Ovis aries: one gene and its partners. The protein of the gene in region 3 purifies or fractionates together with the protein of the main gene of each other region. This does not show direct contact. Links are inferred from orthologs where the notes say so. Each region holds a gene or a part of one and is shown on either strand. Other genes may lie near its edges.

What was found.
Region 1: the proteins of NXF1 (region 3) and SRSF7 purify together in Homo sapiens (affinity purification with western blotting; 3 studies listed by BioGRID and IntAct, with this or other methods). This does not show direct contact. The link is inferred for Ovis aries from reciprocal best matches to the Homo sapiens genes NXF1 and SRSF7.
Region 2: the proteins of NXF1 (region 3) and E3 SUMO-protein ligase RanBP2 purify together in Homo sapiens (co-immunoprecipitation; 5 studies listed by BioGRID and IntAct, with this or other methods). This does not show direct contact. The link is inferred for Ovis aries from reciprocal best matches to the Homo sapiens genes NXF1 and RANBP2.
Region 4: the proteins of NXF1 (region 3) and FYTTD1 purify together in Homo sapiens (affinity purification with western blotting; 3 studies listed by BioGRID and IntAct, with this or other methods). This does not show direct contact. The link is inferred for Ovis aries from reciprocal best matches to the Homo sapiens genes NXF1 and FYTTD1.
Region 5: the proteins of NXF1 (region 3) and XPO1 purify together in Homo sapiens (affinity purification with mass spectrometry; 3 studies listed by BioGRID and IntAct, with this or other methods). This does not show direct contact. The link is inferred for Ovis aries from reciprocal best matches to the Homo sapiens genes NXF1 and XPO1.
Region 6: the proteins of NXF1 (region 3) and RANGAP1 purify together in Homo sapiens (co-immunoprecipitation; 3 studies listed by BioGRID and IntAct, with this or other methods). This does not show direct contact. The link is inferred for Ovis aries from reciprocal best matches to the Homo sapiens genes NXF1 and RANGAP1.

What each region holds. Positions count from the first base shown.
Region 1 is NC_056056.1:85,423,837-85,428,078, forward strand, and holds the start of SRSF7 (serine/arginine-rich splicing factor 7), read left to right. Parts: upstream 1-1,442; 5' UTR 1,443-1,548; coding exon 1,549-1,576; intron 1,577-2,612; coding exon 2,613-2,793; intron 2,794-3,028; coding exon 3,029-3,205; intron 3,206-4,077; coding exon 4,078-4,152; intron 4,153-4,239; coding exon 4,240-4,242.
Region 2 is NC_056056.1:62,089,397-62,092,732, reverse strand, and holds part of E3 SUMO-protein ligase RanBP2, read right to left. Parts: coding exon 3,269-3,336; intron 2,721-3,268; coding exon 2,619-2,720; intron 1-2,618. UniProt on the Homo sapiens protein: E3 SUMO-protein ligase which facilitates SUMO1 and SUMO2 conjugation by UBE2I. Involved in transport factor (Ran-GTP, karyopherin)-mediated protein import via the F-G repeat-containing domain which acts as a docking site for substrates.
Region 3 is NC_056074.1:37,645,512-37,649,651, forward strand, and holds the start of NXF1 (nuclear RNA export factor 1), read right to left. Parts: upstream 2,801-4,140; 5' UTR 2,688-2,800; coding exon 2,660-2,687; intron 1-2,659.
Region 4 is NC_056054.1:191,214,674-191,218,173, reverse strand, and holds part of FYTTD1 (UAP56-interacting factor), read left to right. Parts: intron 1-1,555; coding exon 1,556-1,684; intron 1,685-3,500. UniProt on the Homo sapiens protein: Required for mRNA export from the nucleus to the cytoplasm. Acts as an adapter that uses the DDX39B/UAP56-NFX1 pathway to ensure efficient mRNA export and delivering to the nuclear pore.
Region 5 is NC_056056.1:46,606,438-46,609,937, reverse strand, and holds part of XPO1 (exportin-1), read right to left. Parts: intron 3,041-3,500; coding exon 2,912-3,040; intron 2,270-2,911; coding exon 2,111-2,269; intron 1,181-2,110; coding exon 983-1,180; intron 649-982; coding exon 510-648; intron 314-509; coding exon 132-313; intron 53-131; coding exon 1-52. UniProt on the Homo sapiens protein: Mediates the nuclear export of cellular proteins (cargos) bearing a leucine-rich nuclear export signal (NES) and of RNAs.
Region 6 is NC_056056.1:218,235,226-218,238,725, reverse strand, and holds part of RANGAP1 (ran GTPase-activating protein 1), read left to right. Parts: intron 1-1,311; coding exon 1,312-1,446; intron 1,447-3,430; coding exon 3,431-3,500. UniProt on the Homo sapiens protein: GTPase activator for RAN. Converts cytoplasmic GTP-bound RAN to GDP-bound RAN, which is essential for RAN-mediated nuclear import and export. Mediates dissociation of cargo from nuclear export complexes containing XPO1, RAN and RANBP2 after nuclear export.

The DNA of each region.
Region 1 (4,242 bases), on a different chromosome or scaffold from region 3:
TATGTAAAGGATCGGTATTGCTTAATACTTTTAGGAAGAACTCTGTTAAGTAGATAACAAAAAAAAAAAAATAAGGGAGAACAAACATAACAAACGATGAAACTTCTATTTTCTCACTAGAGATTTTCTTGAGGTAGACCAATTCCTTCCATAATTTGAAAAGTTATGGCAATAATGTAAAACCTTAGCATTACTCTCAGATAATTCATTTTTTATTTACCTGAAGACATGCTAATTTAACTAAGTCCCCTTTCTCCTGTACTGCGTATCCCACATCTATACATACCAAGTGAAGTTACATACAGCAGATGAAAAAGGAAAAAAAAATAGAAATACCTAAGAATTTCCTCTTGTTTTGTGGGACATTTGCAACTCATGTATTCCAAGTATTTACAGTGCAATGCTTTTTTTTAACTGGATGGTAAAAAAGTGAAATCTGTATTTATAGAGCTGGTGTCTGGCAAATACACTGTATAAAATTGAAACTGCACTTTTAAGCGATTCTAACAAAGAAAAGATTTTCATTTATTTGATATACAGAATGACTGAGCAGCAAGGCTGCTTACTCAGAGACAACTTAAGAAACTCCCCATCCTCAGGATACAATATTAGTGGATGAGATGTGGTACTACAGTGCAAAGCAGAAAGCACTAGAAAGGGGGCACAGATAACACTTTGTGCGTCAAATGCAAATGGTTTCAGAATTGCCACTACCACAAATGATTTAAAGATTTAGGATTATGTCACGATTTCAATAAAAAGAGGTGGGTGGGGGGACCCTCTACTTCTTTGTCCTCCTGACTCCGAGAACTCGGACCGTGTTGGGGAAAACTGGTGGCCGGTTCGGAAGGGGCAGAAGGGTCGGTTCAGGGCTGCCGGTCCCTTGGGGGCGTCACCCCTTTTGAGGCCCATGGTGGTTTTGAGGACCACTACTCAGACAGTCGGGGTGTAGGTGGTTCTCACTCTGTCCCAAGCTCCCGATTACCTCTGACGAGCCCCAAAGATCAATGAGTAGCAGTCGAGGTCAGGTCCCCTAGCAGAAAGGCGGCGGCAGCAGCAACATCAGCGGTTAAATCTTACACCTTTCATGAGGCCTGAAAGAAGATTACCACAGCTAAGGGTCCCTAGATGCGAGGGAGGGTAAATGAAGGCGGGGGGGGGGGAGGAGAATGAGGGAAGGAACATGAGGGGAACACAGGGAAAAGGCGGGGGGAGGGCGGGACAACGCGGGGAAGGGCCAAGGGTTTACAGACAGGATCTCCGCGTTGCCACGGAAACGTATCCCTCCGCCCAGGATTCGCGTTTCAACCCCATCAGTTACCTACGCACCGCTTCTCTGCTGTTTCCGCCCAGCTCCTTTGTGCCGCGCAGAACGTCGAGATGACGCATGCGCAACGGAACCCAGCCGCCGCATATATAAGCGCGAACCCAGGCGCTTCCTCGTAGTGCCGCCGGGACCGTTGGCGTGTGAGGCGGTTTGGTTGGTTTTGTATTGATCGTTCTCTGGGCGCTGCGAGCTGAAAGAGCCCAGCTCGCAGGCCAGTCATCATGTCGCGCTACGGGCGGTACGGAGGAGGTAAGAGGCTGGAGGCCAGGAAGGGAGGTTGCTGTGGGTGTAGTGAGTATTTAGAGGTCGTGAGGTTGGCGCGGCGGTTGGGAGACGGTTATTCCGCGTGCGTAATGGCGGCTTCGGCGCACACCATACGAAGCTGGAGGCGGCGGCCGCGGGGTTTCGCAGGAGGACGGCGGGTGGCTGGGGTAGGTTTCCGGCGGGTATCTTTCAGTTCTTGGGCATCTTAGTCTCCCGCCCAGCCCGAGCCAGCCCCTCGATCACTGTTTGTTGTTGCCCTTCTTCGAGCTGCCCGCCTGCCCGCCCGTCCCCCACCCTCCCCCCCCGCCCTCGGCTGCCATTTTGCGCACATTGACGACCATGGTGGCGCATTTCTTTGGCGCTTTCCCGCCACTTTAGCTGACAGATGTGGTCGCAGCCGTAAAAGAAAGGATGAATTTAAGACTTAGAAAACTGGCAGCTTCGAGCTACGCATTCTCGTCAAACGGTCTGATTGCTGAGTGGGCATGGAAGCGTGATTTTTAAGTCTGGCGGCTGGTTTTTCTCTCTTGGCTTTTTCGAGCATGGTTTATGGCTTCTGAGGCGGGGAGCTGGAGTCACGGGCGAGCCTGCGCCTGGGGCGCCTGCTGCAGAGTACTGGAGTCGGCGCAGCCCCGCTCCCGTTCCGCCTTCCGCTGGGGCCCGCTCACCGAGAACGCCGCTGCCGCCGCCGGCCCGCGCGTTCTCGGTGTGCCTGGGGCTGCCGGGACTCAGGGGCGGGACCGGGGCGGAGTCCGCTCCACGCCTCGGAGTATCCTACCACGCTGCGGTGCTCGTATTTGGAGGTTTCCCGCGGGGCTCCCCCCTCCATTGAATGTTAAGAACTTGGTCGTACGCTTAGCTTTTCAGAAATGTTACGAACTTCGCTGGTTTAAAGACTAACATTAGCCCTTGATAGAGTATTAAATGTTTTGCACTGTAAAAAAGAATATATGTAAAAAATTCAAACTTGGGCCAGATTATTTGCATAATGTGCACTCTTTCCTTTGCGTTTTTTAAACAGAAACCAAGGTGTATGTTGGTAACCTGGGAACTGGTGCTGGCAAAGGAGAGTTAGAAAGGGCTTTCAGTTATTATGGGCCTTTGAGAACTGTGTGGATTGCCAGAAATCCTCCAGGATTTGCTTTTGTGGAATTTGAAGACCCTAGAGATGCAGAAGATGCAGTTCGAGGCCTGGATGGAAAGTAAGTGAGATCTTGGTGAGAATGTTCCTGTGTCAGGCTTGAATTTTGTAGTCTGGAGGAGTTTTTAAATAATTAGCTGATCACTTTATGAAGACAGGAAATGAAAGCAAAAGTGAAGTTTGAAGGACTTATATAGTTGGAGCTTCTGAGGGCAAAGAGAGTGGTTGGAAAGTGCTAAATATAGAGCTCACCTTTTTTTTTTTTGGCGTTACAGTTTTGTTGTTGTTTTTTGTAGAGTTATTTGTGGTTCCCGAGTGAGAGTTGAACTATCAACAGGCATGCCTCGGAGATCTCGATTTGATAGACCACCTGCCCGACGTCCCTTTGATCCCAATGATAGATGCTATGAGTGTGGCGAAAAGGGACATTATGCTTATGATTGTCATCGCTATAGCCGCCGAAGAAGAAGCAGGTATTTATTTTAATAAAGGAATGGTTAGTGTACTAGTTAATCAAGTAATTTTTTTATTAGCAAGGCACAAACGTATTTTTCTGTAAACTTGAATGTTAATTGTTACAGGTGTATTTTACAATTTTTGTTTAATTAAAGAAATGTTAATGTATTAATAATCAACCTGGTCAAAACCTTTCAGGTTTCTTCGTTTGAGTCAGTCGCCTTGATTCAGAATGTCACGAGCCTTATGATATCATGCTGAGGCGCCTTGCAAATCCGACAATTAAGATCCTCCTAGACCTTGAGGTGATCAGCATAAGAGGCCAGATCCCCTCGAGTCATCTACACCTAGCTTCACCTTATTCTTTAAAGGGCAGAAAATTTGAGACGGTGATCGCCGTAACAGTAAATTTGGCTTACAATTGGGGGCCCCTCCGGTTTAGAAAGAGGAACACCAGATTGACCACATTCCCAACTAGAAAAATCTTCTTGCGTCAATCAAGCCTCACCTGGCTCATTTGGCTGTCAGTTTGATCGTCGTGTAGATTGAAGAAAACATCTAGATGCAGCGATCGGCTATAGATACTTCTAGATCGTCTAGATCTACTAGACCATGGGCCAAAGAGGGTCGACCTGCAAACTTGCAAGGTTTATTTTAAATACACATTACAGTGTTTTATATTATGTTAATCTAAAATGTAATTGAGCTTTTAACAAATCTTTTTTTAGGTAGTTTAAAAAAAAAAAAAACGACAACTAATAGGCCCAGAGTTTATTTCCAAATGAGACACTAAATTTAAATAGTTTTGAGATTTGGTTTCAGCAGAGGCACACAGACTCTAAGAGGAGTTGCCATCTAATATTATGTTTTTTTCTGACTTGAAAAATAGGTCACGGTCTAGATCACATTCGAGATCCAGAGGTAGACGATACTCTCGCTCACGCAGCAGGAGCAGGGGAAGGAGGTGAGAGATCTTGTTTAAATTTCAACTTGTAAGTAGTGGTGAAGTTTAATTGGAATCAAATTGAAATTACTTTGATTTAATGTTTAGGTC
Region 2 (3,336 bases), on a different chromosome or scaffold from region 3:
CTCTTCTAAGGTAAATGGAATGAGAGCTTCAACTTCTTGCCCAGGTGGCACTGGTGGCCCCAGGAGCAGCTCACTGGCCCCACCCCACCCCACCCTCTCTCAAGCAACACCAGGCTTAATGGGTGAAAAGGCTCCCCACTCCTACGCAGGGGAACAAAAACTTTTCCCTCCCTCCCACCCTGGAGAAGGTGAACACTAAATGCTGTTTTTTCCACATCTCAACTCTGACAACCCAGCCTGCTAATATTAATACATTCCCCACTATCTTAGCGGAAAGAAACCTCTCAATTCTTCATCACTTTGCTGACTGACAAACCACTGCTCTCTAATCCTACATCTGATACAAAAACTCAGGAGAAGGCAAAAATTGTCACAGATCAGTTAAAAACTCAGCACCTTGAAGAAAGAACAAAATGAGTGTCTAATGAAACAGTAAATTCTTCTAAGACAGGTTTAACTGGGAGGAAAAAAAACAGGAAAAAAAAAAGTCATACGAATAAATAGCAAATGAATGCTCAAACAAAAGTACCATCTCAGATTGTGTGGGGGCTTCCTGAGAATAAAGCATAGACCTAGTTGATTCATAGGTGTAAAGCTCAAAAAGCACTTGTTAGGAGCTCCCAAGCAGAAAAAAATTTTCAATTACCCCAATACCCTGAGACATATGGCAGAAAATCTCAAAATTCCTCTAAAGCAATGGTTCGTAACATTGGGTGCATATTAAAATCACACCAACAGCTCCTATGAAATACCAGTGCCTGGGTCCCACACCCAGAGCCCAACATGACTTAACTATCAAGTGTTCCACCTATCCCTTTAAAAAGCTCCCAGGAATTCTAATATGAAGCAGAGAACTGAAAACCACTGCTCTAAAGGGGCAGGAAAAAGAATTTATTCAGTAAAAGTATAAAGATAAGTCTGGCAATAATCAATATCAACAACTGTATTCTAGGTAGCAATACCTAGGAAGCTTCCACTCTGGGTTTAATGGAAACATTACAAAATCTCAAGGAAATATGATAAAATGTCAGGCACAGGGAAGCAGCAGATAAACAGCTGTTTCTTATTGTCTTAGTTTCCATATGAAATATTACACAAAAGACACAGAGTGACTGGTCGACCTGTGTGATGACGACTTTCAGGAGAAACAGAGAAAAAAGAACAAAAGAAAAGAAAGTGAGACAAAAATAAAATGAACAGATGAAGAAAAAGCAATCACCACAGAAATAACACATAATAGAAGAGGAGAAAGAAAAGACTCCTCCGGACTTAAAACCAACCAAAACAAAAAGTTTAAGGTCAAAAAGGTCCACACAAGGCCAGAAATATGTTTGAGAAGCAAAAAATCATTCTGATGAAACTGACCTTCATTAAAAAAAAAAATTTTAAATCCTACAAGCTCTTAGTCAAAGGCTAAAGTATTAAAAATTTACAAATGTGAAAACTCCCCATGAAAATACATGAAATGGATTCCAGGGAATTTACAGTTACAAAATACTATTCTGTGCTTATAATATTAGCACAATATTAATTAAAGTAGACATTCAATACATAAGAAAACTAATCATAATTTAAAGGAAAGTAATGACAAATCTGGAGATAAAAAAACAAAAGAACTGATAAAACCAAAAGCTACTTATTTGAAAAGATAAAGTACAAATTCCTGTCAGATTTAAGGACACAAACTAAAAGGTGTAGCTTGGAAAAAAAAAAAGAGCTTGGTGGATAATCTCACTGAATCAGCAGGTAACTCAGGGCAAGCCTCCCACACAGATCTGGAGCTGTTCGATGTCAACTTTACTGCACAACACTGACGGAGTATCAAGCAACCTAACACATCAGCTTGTATCTGGCTTTTCATTGGTGGGTAATTGTACCCATTCTATTGCTGTATTTGCTGACCTATTATCCTGTGACTTCAAACTACTAAATAAATTAAAAATAAAGCAATGTGACATCAATGAGGCTATGAATTCCAAAGTAACACAACATCTGAAGGTAATTTCTTAAAGTTTTATATATGTTTCTATAAATGATGGAGCTGTGACACAAGTAAAATATGTGAGATGGAATAACACTATTTTGAATTAATCATGTAATTATATATCTTCAATAAAATTTATTCTGCAAATCATCAATTCAGTTTAGGTGGTGGTGCTGTAATCTGTTATATGATAGATATCTAAGAATAGGAAAATACAGTATACCATAAACAAGGAAAAGGATTATTTTCTACAAATGATACCAAAACAGACCAAAACTAGAAAAACCACTGGAAAAGATGGGAAAGCTCACCAGTTATAAATTAGCACAACCCTTATATGAAAAATACAATCAAGGATAATGCAAAAATAGAAAACTTCAAAGTCATCTCCTAAACAATTACAGATGCACATCTTGAAATATTAGCAAATCAAAAGTATAACTAGAAGAACAATCCCAAAGTTACTCCAAAACTGGAGGGAGGGTTCTGCATTTCAGGATGGGCAAGACTAGCACAAGTGACAATGAATTAAGAGAAAATTCTTGGTGAGCGACAACCCTGCAACGAAGGACTCACCCTCCAGGGGTGCCCACTTCTGTAACACAGTCACTGAAGCCTCTCCTCCTAATCTTACCTTTGGATCCAAAAGCAAAATCCCCAGAGTTACTGGAAGCCAAGTCTGCAAATGACAGCCCTGTGCCACTTCCAAATCCAAACGTAACTGTTTTGCTTTCCACTGGCAAAGGAAAAGAGCAATTTTAGTATTTCATTTAACATATGTTGAACATCAAAGATTTACCCAGGACCCAAAGGGAAGGCGTATGTGTGTGTGTATGTTGGGAAGGGTAGGACCTGCTATGCTACTGATGTGGTGGGGTGGGGGTAAGGAGTATTTATAATCTAGTTATTTCTCCGAAGAAAACTTACAAGTTTACAGGTACTATTTATTCTCAATGAACAATACACCAGAAGCAGCATGCTTAAGATCATTTAAAAAAATGAGATGTAGATCTATACTAAGTCAGACAGAGAGCTACATAGCTTCTGCTTCACATGGTCTAGTATCATCTAAACAAACATTCATTCCAAGAAGGATTTCAGGAAATAGCTATGTAAAGATTCTGTGTTCACTAAGAAAATTGAATTACCTCATGCCCCTTTGTACATCTCAGTTTAAGAAAGGGAATTCCTGGATGTACATTTGAAAGTATCGTCTCAGAACCACTGTACCTTATGCAGAAATTCATGCCTACAAGGTTGCTATAAACATACATCAAATTTTACCTTGGCTTGTAGAATCTGCATCATTTTCCTTTCTAGTAGATAAATCCACAGGTTTGTCAACAGTTCCA
Region 3 (4,140 bases):
TTCCCTACCCACCTCTCCCTGGTAACCATAAGTTCACTCTCTAAGACTACCCCTACTCAAAATTTGATCACATCTTGAAAAGTCAATCACAATGATTACATCAGCTTTCAGTAAACAATACTTCTTTTGCCTATAAAGCACAAATGTCAGTTACAACTACGACCAATTGAAAGGCTTCTTTTAAGTCTTGTTCTCACCTCAAAACACTGAAATTCGAACTACCATATGATCCTGCAAATTCACTCCAATTATATATCCAGAAAAAAGAAAAAAAGTACTAATTTAAAAAGATGCATGCCTAAATGAGGAAGTGGGGATTAACATCTGCACACTACTATTATCTGAAACAGATAATCAACAAGGACCCACTGTATATAGCACAGGGAACTCTACCCAGTACTGTAATAACCTCCCTGAGAAAATAATCTGAAAAACAACAGATACATGTATAACTGAATCACTCTGCTGTAAATCAACTATACTCCAATATAAAGATTTTTCTTTAAAGCATCAAAACTAAGAAAAAGGGAAGAATACATATGAGCTTCACTTGTTTTCAGGTCAATTAAAAAAAAAAAGATACCTGCATCTCATTGTTCACAGCAACACTGTTTACAGAGGGAAAGATATGGAAGCAATCCAAATGAACATCAAGGGACTAATGGATAAAGATGTGGTATACACACACACACAACGGAATACTACTCAGCCATAAAAAAAGAATGAAATCTTGCCACTACAACAACATGAATGGACATGGAGGTTATTATACTTAGTAAAGTAAGTCGGAAAAAGACAAATACTGTCTGATATCACATATGTAAAAACTAAAACGAATATATTTAGCAAAACAGAAACAGACTCACAGATATAGATAACAAACTCCTGGTTATCAGTGGGAGAGGGAAAGCAGGAGGGGCAAGATAAGGTTATGGGATTAAGAGATACCAACTACTAATGCCACCCCACTCCAGTACTCTTGCCTGGAAAATCCCATGGACGGAGGAGCCTGGAAGGCTGCAGTCCATGGGGTCGCTGAAGGTTGGACACGACTGAGAGATTTCACTTTCCCTTTCATGCATTGGAGAAGGAAATGGCAACCCACTCCAGTGTTCTTGCCTGGAGAATCCCAGGGACGGGGGAGCCTGGTGGGCTGCCGTCTATGGGGTCGCACAGAGTTGGACACGACTGAAGCGACTTAGCAGCAGCAGCAGCAGCAGCAACTACTAAGTATAAAATGGATAGGCAACAATAATATATTATTGCACGGGGGGTGACAGCCATTATTTTGTAATAACTTTTAATGGGGTATAATCTATCATAATACTGAATCACTATGTTCCCTTTCATGTCATACCTGAAAACTAATATTATGTTGTAAATCAACCATATTAAAAAACTGCCACTCTGAAGTGAATGTTGAAGTGACCCAAGGGTAACTGGACACAACTCATTCTCCGAAAAGTCACCTGAAATCTGCTGTCTGCCCACCCACATCAACTTAACCCCAAGTGACCTCTTTCATATCCAGGTAAACCAATCATAATGATTACATTAACTTAATCAATACTCCTTTTGCCTACTGAGTACAAACATCAACTACAAGTATGATCAATCTAATGGTTTCTTTTATAAATTTTATTCTCAAACTCTGGAGTTCCTCTCAACTGTGGTGTGTAGAAATGGCTTCTGAAAAAGAGCCCTATGAAGTGAAGTGAAGTGAAGTCGCTCAGTCATGTCCGACTCTTTGCGACCCCATGGACTATAGCCTACCAGGCTTCTCCATCCATGGGATTTTCCAGGCAAGAATACTGGAGTGGGTTGCTATTTCCTTCTCCAGGGGATCTTCCCGACCCAGGAATCGAACCCGGGTTTCCTGCATTGCAGGCAGACACTTTACCCTCTGAGCCACCAGGGAAGCCCAGTACTCTGCAAACATTGAATCTCATGAAACGACCCTAGGGAAAAAATAGACGACTAGAAGGTGCAGTTAACATTTATCAATAAGTTTATCCGATGTCAGGCGCTCGACGCACACGATCTCGTTTTAATACAAACACACACACATGGAGACAAACTCAGGAGACAGGTACTGTTTCTATCCTCCTTCAGGGGATGGAAAATCAGGCCTGAGTGTTTAACTCACATATGATCGGCATGGCCAACAACCACTACTCTGGATCTAAACCCATTGTAGTGTTCTGGCTAAAACAGTGAGTTAAAGTGTAGGTCTAGAATATTAAAGCTAAAGCTGCGGACGGCGGGGGAGGGGGCAAGACCGACTGGACGCACGGTAGAAAATAGGGCACCGGCAGCCCAAGAACAGGGTACTGACTCACATTACTATAGCCGCCAAACTGAACTGACAGGCATCCACCACCCACAAAGTTCAAAGGAATCCAGTCACCTCACCGCCGAGCCACCCGCTCCGAGCCGCAGGTGCTCACAGCGCCAGGATTCTGGGGTCAACGAGCCGGGCACTCACCCTCGAGTTCAGCCAGGGCCCGGGCTGCCTCGCCCCGGGCCCGCGCCACTCACTGCCGTTCCCCGCGGACACCCGGCCCCTCGCGGCCTCCCGCCCCGGCGCTGCGGCCTAGGCCGGCGCTGCCCAGCGGGGCTCCAGATCGCCCCTCTCCCCGGCCCAAGGACCAGCACTGACCGTTGTATGACTTCCCCTCGTCCGCCATGGCACAGCTAGAAGCAGGGGCGGGCTGCGTCGCGGGCCGCCACTTAGCCAAACGTCCGAATGCCCAGGCGCTCTAGGTCGAAGTGCTCCTACGCCGGCTACCACCGCGTTTATAAGGAGACCGTGTCGCGCGCTGTCGACGTCCCACGATCATAGGCGGAGCCGCTGGGAGATGCGCGTGCGCATTCGACCAGCAGAGACACCGGGGCGGAGCTTGAGGCCGACGCTCCGCCCAGTAGTGATTAGTTTACTGATCCCCCTGATTAGTACTCGCACCTGCCCTCTGCTTTCATCGTCGGCCGGTAAGCAGCACCTCCAAGGTTGGCACTGAAGCAGAGATGGCCACTGCACCCCAGGGTTCAAAAAGAAAAAGGGAAGGAGGGCCACAAGAAGGGCTTCTGAGGAATGGGAGACCAGTGCCTTGGAGTGACCGCTTCAAGACCCCTAGGAGGATCCAGCCTGGGCTTAAGTCTCAGCTCAGCCCTTTGCCTTCTACAGATCTATGCCTTGCTTTCCTTGCCTATAAAATGAAATAGAAAACTAGAAGGTAAGCTCCAAGAGAGCAAGGAGTTGACTAATTCATGGCTTTTTTTTTTTTCTCCCCAGCACCTGGCTCAGTACCATACCTGGCATGTACCAGGAACTCAGCAAATATTATGAAATAAATTTCCAATCTATGCAACACCCCCCCCCCCAATAGTTGTGGAGTCAAATGAGAAAAACTGCATTTGTCAGGCTTTGATCATCTTCACAGATCACCCCACCCACCATCAATGTGCTGTGCTTAAACCCACATCGTGTGTCAACTAAAGTTAAGATGCAAGCAAGAGCACCCCCTGGACACAGGTCAAACGGAGAGCAAATACTAAAAGGCCAGGGCTAAGAAAGGCCAGGGCTCTCCTAGATAACTACCGCCCCCAACCCCAAGGTACTACAGCCAGCCCAGTGTGTGACTGTTGTCACTATAGCTTGAGCTTCCTTTGGGGTGTGTGAAATTGGGGTACTCCAGTGATCTCAGAATGATGTGGTTGTGGGTCCTGGTCAGGACTGACAAGCATATTGACCTTCCAGGGTAGGGTAGGTATTCCAGGCAGATCTCTACTTCATTCTCCTGTGACTGGTTTGGATTTGGTGAGGGGCTTCAAGAGGGGACCAAGAGCCTCAGCTGGAGCTGGGAACAAATTCTTCACCTTTCACTCCTGGCAGCAGGCAGAACTCCTGCTTCATCCAGCCCAAGGAAAACGGTAGGACTGGAAGATGCAGATGAAACAGGTCCAAATACTTCTGGAGATGGTCCTAGAAGTTACCACTAATCAGAGACCCACTCTGGGATCGTATACCCTGCTTTGAAGGGAATTTTCCATGATAATTAAGTACTGCTGCACTGGGTTAGGCCTGCTGGAAGCAGCTGTGTATACAGAGCCCAAAGCCTGGCCCCTCAGGGTCATCAGTCC
Region 4 (3,500 bases), on a different chromosome or scaffold from region 3:
ATGACTGAGATTTCGGACTTTTGGTGAAGAATAAATAGCACCTTGTTAAAGGAACGTAGTGCTTCGAAAGTAGTGGCTTTCTAACTATATTTTCTTTCTGCTTACTGAGAATTTAACATGTTCATGCCTCTGAGATTTGTGAAATCTTTGTATTTTATAAAAACTGTTTTTGAGTGCCTTTAACTTTGATGAATTTTTTTGTACCTGAAAGATTTATCTCTTCTTGAAGAGATTTGAATTATTTTATATGACTGTTTGAATGTAATTTAAAGTCTTAAATGTGAAAGATGGGTGAAATAGAGTAGTGCTATATGAGAAAAGATCCCTATATATCTTTCTTTGACTTTAGAAAAGACTATGGTTATATTGATACAGTTGTTAAATTATTTGTATTTAGAGCAATTTGGAAAAAAATAACTGAGGTTTGTTAGTGTCATTAATTTTATTTAGAAGTGTTGACAGTGTTCAGTTTATTTGATTTATTTGCTGTAGTTTCAATTCAGAATTGGAGTTGGAACTTCAGAGAAATTGTTTGAATATTTTTAAATGTGTATTTTTTGTCTGCTAATAATCTCCTTTTAACATATGTAAATAGGATCTGGAGTACATTTAGTTTCCTGATCTTCACATTGTTCTTTTGTGATATTAGAGCAGTGTGTTGTTTGTGAATTACCTTGGGACAGTTTGAAAGTGTTTTTGGAGATAATGAGACTTAGAACAGTGCAGAGGGAATTCCCTAGAGGTTCAATGGTTAGGACTCCAAGCTTACACTTGGGGCACGGTTTCCATCCCTGGTCCAGGAATTAAATCCCATAATCCCATGTGCCCCTTGGCATGACCAAAAAAAAAAGAGAGAACTATGTAGAAAGAAAAATAAGGTAACCCTGAATTGCTGTGCTAAACAAGCAGAGAACCAGTAGTGTTTTCTTTTTGTACTGTACCTTTATTATGGTACTTGTTTACTTATGGGTCTTTTGTGTTCATTATTTATATGCCGGTTTCCTTCACTAATTTTAAATTTATTGAGAGTAGTCATGTTTTACTTTTGTTTCTATTGTGGCACAGCCTGCCACATATATTCATCGTACCATAACTTATACTCAGTAAAGATTTGCTAACTTGAGATGAACTTAGAAATTTAGTTTATGAATGATTTATTATTTGATTGCCAATGGTTTTATTGAAAGGTGGTCATCTTTAAAACTGGAGACTTCTGTGTTTATAGAAGATAAATACAGATAATTTTTGTAAACAGGTTTTGCTTATTTACATATATTAGGAAAAGAAATACTATGAAAAATAGAAATTTTCATTAATTACTAGCTCTGTTTTGGTCTTTTGACTTCAGCTTTTCCTATGAAACTTTTCTTCACTGCTCCAAATATATTGGCTGATTTGAGCTTTTATATTCTTAGCATTATTATCCTTTTAAGGAAGTGCTTCCAAGGTAGAAAAGAAGTTAGGGACATAGGAAATCTGTCAACTAGAAAATGAGACTGAGTGATTGAGTCATTAATTTAAAATGAAGATAATCATCACATTTTGTCTATCACAGATGATATCATCAAATTGAATCGAAAGGAAGGAAAGAAGCAGAATTTCCCGAGATTAAATAGAAGACTTCAGCAAAGTGGTGCCAGGCAATTCAGGATGAGAGTAAGATGGGGTATTCAACAAAATTCTGGTAAGTTTTGCAAGTAAGCTTTAATAAAATGCCAATTATTTATGGGTTCATAGTATACTATCTTTGATATGTATTTAAAACATGGAGGGAATATATCAGTGATTTATGTTTTTCCTTCTCTCAGGGTTTTGTTTAATCTTATAATCTGGTAGCAATTCAGGTTTCCTTAAATAGGTGATTAACCGTGTGTCCTAAAAACATTAAGTCATTTTAAAGTAACCTCGGTATATAAAGTCTTTGTTATTTTTAGGGATAAAGATTTGTAAAGGATCTTCCATACCATAAAGTCTTAGTCCCCTTTGCGGTTAGATGTTAGTCTGTCTGATGGATGACTGTTTAACTCTAGCTTAAATACATTCAGTGGGAGAACATACCACCTCACAAGATAACTTATTCCATTATTGGAGACACACTGTTTACTAGAAAATTCTCTTAATTTGAATTAAATCATGCCTTCCTGTTAATTCTATAGTTATAGGAAACAAATTACCTTTCTTATATGAAAACCTTTTAAATACATGGAGACTGCTGTTTTGCACAGAAAATTATTTCTAGGTTACTTATCTTATGCAGGACCTTTAAGATTTGTTAAATTCTCCAAAGGTAAAACAGAATTGAATGCTTTAGATGTGGTCTGTTATTTTGGAACTCTACATATACAGTTATTTTTAGTAATCTAGAAGCTTATTTATTTATAACATCTTGTTCCAAAATGGACTTAAGGCAGTAAGGGAATACTATTAATTATATGTGACTCATTAACTTTGTTAGCAATTACATCAGCATTTTAGAATAAACATTTGTTCAGATTTTTAAAACTCAAGATCTTTTTTACACATGTGCAAAAAGTTTGATAAACTAATTCCTAAGTTGATTTTTGTCCTATATGTTAAAAAAACAACAAGTAATCTCCAATAGATTGAACATAATTAATCCTACGTTTAACAACTGATATGCCAACATAACCTCAACATATACCTGTAACTAAAATTAGACTGTACAGAAAAATTTATTCTTCCCTAATAATTTTCTTGGATAGCTGGACTCAAGAGAATAAATCTTGTGACAGGTATTTAGCTATAGAAAATTAATATTTAATTCCAGTGATTTATATTTTGAGGTTTCTTTATAAATGTTACTCAACATACCATAATTAAGTATGATTTATATTAAAATAATTTTAGAGTTCATAGAAGCCAGAAATACATTTGTTTATGTTAATCATTTGTTAAATACCTGATAAATACTCTGAACTGACCAGCTTGTTTGGGTTTGTAAAGACACAGTCTTTTACTTCAAGGAACTTCTGGTGACAGATAAGGAAAAACACTTGAGTTGAGAAATATCATAAGAGAAATTCTGATAGTACTATAGGATTTTAGATAGGCATTTTGTGCTAAGATAATCGGTGGTAATTTAATCAATAAGGTGAAATAGGATCTCCTTCATGAAGGATCAGAAAAGCTTTCCTTTTACAGAGTTTATGATCTCAGCGTTGAGCTAAAGATCTGCAAGTGCCTTAGGATCTTTTAAGATTGAATTTGTGCTTGTATGTTCTCCACTTCCATGTGACAGGGCCTAAAATAGAACAGCTGCTCCTGTCACTGAATGTTCAGAGAGAGATGGGATTTTCTTAAGCTCTGATTGGTTTGGATAAGTTCAGATTTCCACATTGTAATGTCAGTGAGAATGTTAGGTTGAGGTAACAGAATAAGCAGAGAGCCCTTACCAAATAATCATTTATTTTTGATGACTGAACACATAAGAGAATAAAGTTTTCACAATTCTATTCCTGAAATGTAATTTAGTCACTCAA
Region 5 (3,500 bases), on a different chromosome or scaffold from region 3:
TAATAGCTTTATTATCTTTGCCTCTTTTCTGTTCACATAATCCTAATAGGTCCTGTAAAGTAAGAAAAATTTCAGTCATTTATAGTAAAATACACTAACAAGGTTCTAGTTCACACCTATCTCTTACATACCTTTATAACAGTAACAAGAAATCGCTTTTCATCCTCTTCATGCATTGCTCCACTAATGGAGCCTATTGCCCAACACAATGTATTCAAATTCTTCCATGACCACTCCGTACCATTCACTTGATTGTGAAGCTTCTCAGTCATTATTCTTTCTGTATCTACATAATCCAGATGAGTAAGATAAACTACAGGAAAGAAAAAAATTCCACGTTTTAAAATCCAAAACTTAATGAGCAAAAAGATTTTTACTAAGACCAACAGCACTCTAATAAGGATGGCTATTGACAGACTCAGAAACTAAGCATGTTTCCTAAACAGTATTTCCACAAAAGAATACAATTTTAAAAATAAGGATTAAATTAATAGTATTTATTAACTTACCTAATGTTTCTCTCATATTCTTATACAAATTTATGGAATCTGTATCCTTCATGAATTCTCTTACAACTTCTCCCTGATCATTTTCTACAACTAATACTTCCTCTGGTTTAGCCATTCTACTAACCATTAATAAACGGACCTATTCAGCAATTAAAAAAAAAAAATCTGTTAGATCTCTGAAATTAGTTACATCAAATATAACTCCCACTCTCAAAAAATGGCACTTAACACCAACATACCAAACACAATCATGCCCACAATATAAAACAATAAACATACTTAAAATGTAATTCTACAATAAATTTCAATCTAAACATGGACAAAAACAACTGTTAACTTTCCTTCATCTCATTTGCATTTCTAACAAACTCACAGATTGTGCTTGGATAGAATCAGCCAAAAAATAAAAGCCAGCATTTTCATCTGGTCCTCCAAAATCAGAGAAAGCACACTCAACCACACACTGTTGTTACCTTGGACAATACAGGCAAATAGAGCTGTCTCCTAGGAGGAACATCAAAATGCTGACTTCCAGATAGCAACGGAGAGGCAGATGTTGAGAACGGGCTTTCTCTATAGAGTTCAGCTGCCAGGTGATTCCAGTACTCAAGACAAATCTTAAAGATTTCAGTTTCCTCTACTTCGGATACCAACAACATATAATGAAGGGCCTACACAGAATACCAAAACTATTAAAACAATCCTTAGACATTACTAACAACCTCAAACTGTTTTCCATTTGCTATGTTAATGGGAAATAAAAATTCATATTGCTTTTTGTACACTCTGAAGTTTCACCATTTATCAAATATACAATAGAAATTGTATAGGAGCAAAGTGCACTTTCTTCTGACATGTCCTAGAACATGCTAAGAAACTTACATGATTGTTAAAAAGTATGGACATCAAACGATATTTGGTAATAGCAAAAAGGGAGAAATAACTCAAATGTTCAACAGATGAACGGACACAAAAAATGAGGTATATCCATATAAAGGGATATTATTCGGCATGAAAGGGATGAAGTACTGACGTATGCTATATAACATGGTAACATGTTAAGTGAAAGAAAGCAGTAACAGAAGTCCACACATTATAATTCCAATTATATGAAAGGTTTAGAATAGGTAAATCCATTGAGTTGTAAAGCAAATTACTTGTTGCTAGGGACTGGAGGGAAGAGCAGAACGGAATGACTTGTTTCAATGGGTACCTTATCCTTTGTGGGTAATGACAAAATGTTTCAGACTAGAGAGATGGTTGAAAGCACTGTGAATGCACTAAATGCCACTCATGCGACCTGAAAGTTGTATGTTATTACACCTCTATTTTACAATAAGGTTTTTAGACTTTGCCTCTCAGAAATGACACATATGCACACTTATTGGAATTTAATTTTCATTATAAATTACTGATCTGACATTGAATAGAACACAGAAATCAGGACACTTGGCTTCTGACTAGAATCCAGAATTGAGAGCATGTATTGTATTGTGCAGACAAACAATAAGATATGTCAAAGAGTATGTCAAAAGAATTTTAGAACAAAAGCAGTTTCAATTATTATTAATTTCAGAAGCCAAAAGCTCCACAAAGCCTACCTCCATGAGTGTTTCCCTGAGATTTAATCTTTTTTCTATAAGTTGACCATGTTCTTTAAGAAAGGTGCAGAGAAACAAACTGAGATTTTGAATAAAGTTCTGTTCATCATCCTTTCCATTTGAGTATGCAAGTCGAATATTGGTATTTAGAGGAAGCATCTGCAAATTTAAATATGGATAAGCCTTCAAAATAACAACAAAGTTACTACATTTAAGTTCTAAATTTCCATCACATTTTATGAATTTTAAAACATAATAAATAGTTATCTTTCAATAAAATGCCTTGGTCTATTATATCCATTTTTGTACCTTTCAGTCCTAGCTTTTTTTTTAAAATCAAAAGCATAGTAAGATTTCCTCAAAGACAATCCTTTGAAATTTTTCCTAAATCAGTTTTCCCACCTTGGTGTTATTAAAAATGTTCAAATATATAGTTGATTCAGATTACAAATATATTACGTAGCAATGTAGTTTTATGATTAACCTTCTAGATAATTTCATATATACTTAGTCAACCTAGGACTTAGCCAATTCCTTTAATTTAAAAGATGGAAAGGTCAAAGGCAGAATATTAAACCCCAGGTAACCAAAACTTTAAATTCTGCAGAAATTACATATCAAAACATTCCCAGAACATTTCAAGGATTCTCAAAATTTCTAGCTTACCCTTCATTTTATATAATAAACACAGAATTGCACTGATCTATTTATGCTAAGCTGTGGTGAAATGGTTCAACTGAAATCCAACTTTTTCTAAGGCACTAAAATTGTTTAGTCAGTTTAATAAGAGGGTTACATTACCTGTTTTAGCTGCATCATTGTCAGCGTAAACAGCGTTACAAATTGCTCCTCATACTGGCTTACACTCACACCAGCAATCTCAGTGAGGCACTTCAGAGAGACATTTCGAAACATTGGAACATTCAGGAACTATTTTAATTAAAAGAAAGGGGAGAGAGGGAGCATAAAATTAAATAGCCTGAAACACTTCACTTAAAATTAACAATTAAAAAAATAATGAAGGATTTAGAAATCAGGAACACTGGGGGAAAAGAAAACAGGCAAATAGATGGTGATACAGGTTTTTGGTATCTATATTTTAAGGAAATTTCATTATCCACCCAACAGCTAGTAAATGCTTTAAAAGCAAACCATGCTTTCTTTGATGTGTCTTTAGACATCTGAAAAACACGAAGTTGCTTAGAAACTTTCCCCATGAACTACTACATGACTTTTAAAGATATGTTTTCTGTATAATCTGAAAATATTGTAACTGTTTAAGATCCTAAGAGATCTTAATATACCTAAGATTAACAAAGGTATAGGGAAACTGGCTCTTATTTTATTGTTGAGAAGGAATAAATGTAGCCTCCTGTTTGTGGGTGGCAAC
Region 6 (3,500 bases), on a different chromosome or scaffold from region 3:
TCCCCGCTTACTGAGAGGTGGGTGACACTGTCCCTGCCTTTTCAGGTAACGGCACTTGAGCTTAGAGCTCTTGGGTTGAGTGCCTCAGATGATGTAGCTAGCATGGGCCAGATGTGGGATTTGAACCAGCATCCCCGTGGCCAGTCAGAGCAGCTGGAGGCGCCTGTGTGTGCTTGAGGTGGCCTGCCCTGCACATGGCCTATCGCCTCCTGCCCCATGGGAGGGTGGGCAGCTCATGCTGGACCGTCTCAGCCCGCACGCCTCTGGTCTAGGGGCAGTAAGCTGTGTGTTAAGGCAACAGTGTTTGCCTCACCACAGGAGACCAGTCCAGCCCCACCCGGAGTAGAGCCGCCTCTGCAGATCCCTCAGGCTGGCCTGTAGCAAGAGTCGCCGGGCTCTGACCTGAGCACACGCCCGACCCCCGCCGTCGCAGGGTCAAGCTGGCGGTGTCCCGGGTCCTGTATGTGCCCCAGAGTAGAGCTGTATGCAGCCACACTGACCCCGCTGCCTCGTTGTAGAGCAAGGCTAATACCTTCTGTCTCCTGGCTGGTTTTGAGGTTGAATGAGGTGTGAGAGCATCTTGGCCGGGAGCGCTCAGGGCCTGGCAGGTGTGTGTGAGCGTCTCTGCTGCTGCACTGCCCGAGAGCCATTTCTATTCTCTATACTGCGGTCTCTCCACTTCCAACCCACCAGCCGACTGGTACTTGTGACCTCTCGCTCTGTTGGTGTCACTAGATAGAGGCCGCCTCCTGGCACCACCCCAGGGTCAGGGCAAACCCGGTTTTAGGTTTTTACTCCCAGGAGCTGAGCCCCCGCTGCATGGCTGGGCGGAGCCTGGGCGGGTGTCAGCTGGGTCATGGTGGGGTGAGCCCTGCCCTCTTGGCTGGCTCCCCTGAGGCCTTGCGGAGCGTGGAGGAGATGCCAGAAGGTTCGGGTTCCGTCCAGGGTGTGCTGCTTGTGTGGTATCTGCGGGAAAGTTTCTGTCTCTTTCTGAGCCGAAGTTCCTTCAGCCAGAGTGTGGGAGTTATGGTGCCCACCTGACAGAGGGTCGTGGCGCTGCAGTGGGCCGACCATGAAGCCCCTTGCCCACATCACTCGGTGTTGATGTCTCCCTCTCCCCGTCCCTACCATGGGGCTAAGCCCCACAGGCTGACGGGACAGGCGGACACAGAGGTGGATGTCACAGCCCGTGTTCCTGCAAATTGCTGGGCCCAGCTGAGGGGCTTGCTGCTGGGCCGTTTGTCGTCCCGCATCCACCCGGGATGTGGCTGGTGCGGCACGTTGGAGACCAGGGCCTCCTGCCTCCCCCAGATCCTGGCAGCAGCTCTGACCGAGTGCCATCGGAAGTCCAGTGCCCAAGGCAAGCCGCTGGCACTGAAGGTCTTCGTGGCCGGCAGAAACCGTCTGGAGAATGACGGAGCCACCGCCTTGGCAGAAGCTTTCGGGGTGAGTGGTTTCTGCCCTCCCTGCCCTGGGGCAGGCTGAGCATGGCCGGCGGACGCTAGAACTTGGCCAAGAGACCTCGGGCGGCTCGCCTCCCCCTCCGAGGCTGCTAGCTCACCCTCTCGGGACAGGATCCTCATCACTCAGGTCTGAAAGGTGGCGTGATCCGCCTTCTGGGGTGAGTCATCAGTGCTGTTTGTGACCTGCCAGTCTGGGGAACGAGCGGCAGTGCCAGAGCAGCCTGAGTGCTGGCCCCGGCCTGTGGGGTCGCAGTCTCTGGCTCCAGTGAGGAGGGTGCTGGGATGGAGCCCGTGAAGCTGGCCCATGAGCCCGGGAGGAGGGCAGGAGCAGCAGCTGGAGCGGGCGCTCTCAGGCGTCCTTCAGGGCAGGGCGTCTAGGTCAGCTCCGTGGACTTCCCCGGCGGCTCAGTGGTAGAGAGTCTGTCTTCTAATGCAGGAGACACAGGAGACTGGGTTCGATCCCTGGGTCAGGAAGATCCCCTCGAGTAGGAAATGGCAACCCGCGCCAATATTCTTGCCTGGAAAATCCCACGGACAGAGGAGCCTGGTGGGCTATGGTCCGTGGTGTTGCATAGAGTTGGGCATGACCAAGCATGCACGCTGTGGGACCCCACTGGTCTGTGAATAGAGCTCAGGAAGGCTTTGAACGCGGCCAGGGGGATATTGCATGATTGTTTCACTACCAGAGCTAATAAAATGCAGCATTTACCTTCCATGGTGAATGTGGACAGTAAACTTCAGCTTCAGAAATTCTTGTGGCTTTGTTACCAGGAGAAATCACAGGTATCTTCATGTCAAATGATAGCAGTTGTGGATAGACAGAGTTATTTGTTTCTCATACATTAAGGTTAATGGTACACCAGGGTACACCAAGGTCTTATTAAGAGGTATGTGTATGACTACAGCAGACATTTAGGCAGTTTTCTAAATGTTTTGATACTTGTCTTCCAGTTGAATTGATTTGTTAGTCTGTATAAGTTAGCTTAAAATTTAAAAACATCCAGAAGGTGAGCCCTGGGGCTTTACCAGGTTGCCCGATGGTCCGTGGCACAGAAAATATTAAGAGCCCTGACTTGGAATGTGCCTCAGTTGGGCTGCCTGTGTTCATTTGTGAATCCCCATGCTGTGCTGGGCACCCAGAGCCGACAAGGTGCCTGGGTACAGAGTTAGGCCAGGCCTGTCCTCAGCCCCTCCAGGGTGGTGTTGGAGACTGGGTCGTGGGCCTCTCCTTGAGATCTTGGGGGCTGTTGGGATGCAGACAGGAAGGTGGCTTTGACACTTCAGAGGGATGAACACCGTGAGAGGGCAAGGATGAGGCACTCTGGGGGCAGAGAGGAAGAGTGCTGGGTTGTGCTGGGGGTGGGGGTTGGGGTAGGGTAATCCAGGAACTCTTCCTGGGGGAGGAGGCATCCAAAATGAGAGCTGTTGAACACATGAGGATCAGCCTGTCAAGAAAATGCCAGCAAAAGGAGGAGACAGAGTGTTCCAGGCAGAGAAAAGGAGGTAGGGAAGACTGGAATGAGGGGGTTCGCTAGGTTCAGGAAGCCCCCTCACTCCCAGAAAAGGATGCAGAACGTGGGCTGCCACTCGTACTCTGTAAATAAGGCAGCAGGATCCCCATGAAGAAAGGCCAAGCGGCGCTGCATTATACAGAGCAGGGCCTGGGCTGACTGCAGGCCAGAGCCCAGGGTCCCTGCAGTGCAGAGGTGCCAGACAGAGACGCCAGTGCTCAGAGCTGTGGCCCTGGGCCAGTGACTTAGCCCCTCTGATCTCAGTCATCTGTCTGGTGATGGTCCTAATCCCAGGTAGGTCTCCCTCGTGAGACTGGAGAGGATCAGGTGTGGTTGTGCCCCGACAGACAAGCCCCTCCCATGCCTGGTGGGTGGTACTGCCCTCTTGCCCGCGGGGTGTCCCCTGGCCCCGCCCCACACCTCGGGGCCCACTGCTCTCCTTCCTGCCCCTGGCAGATCATCGGGACTCTGGAGGAGGTCCACATGCCCCAGAACGGCATCAACCACCCCGGCGTCACTGCCCTGG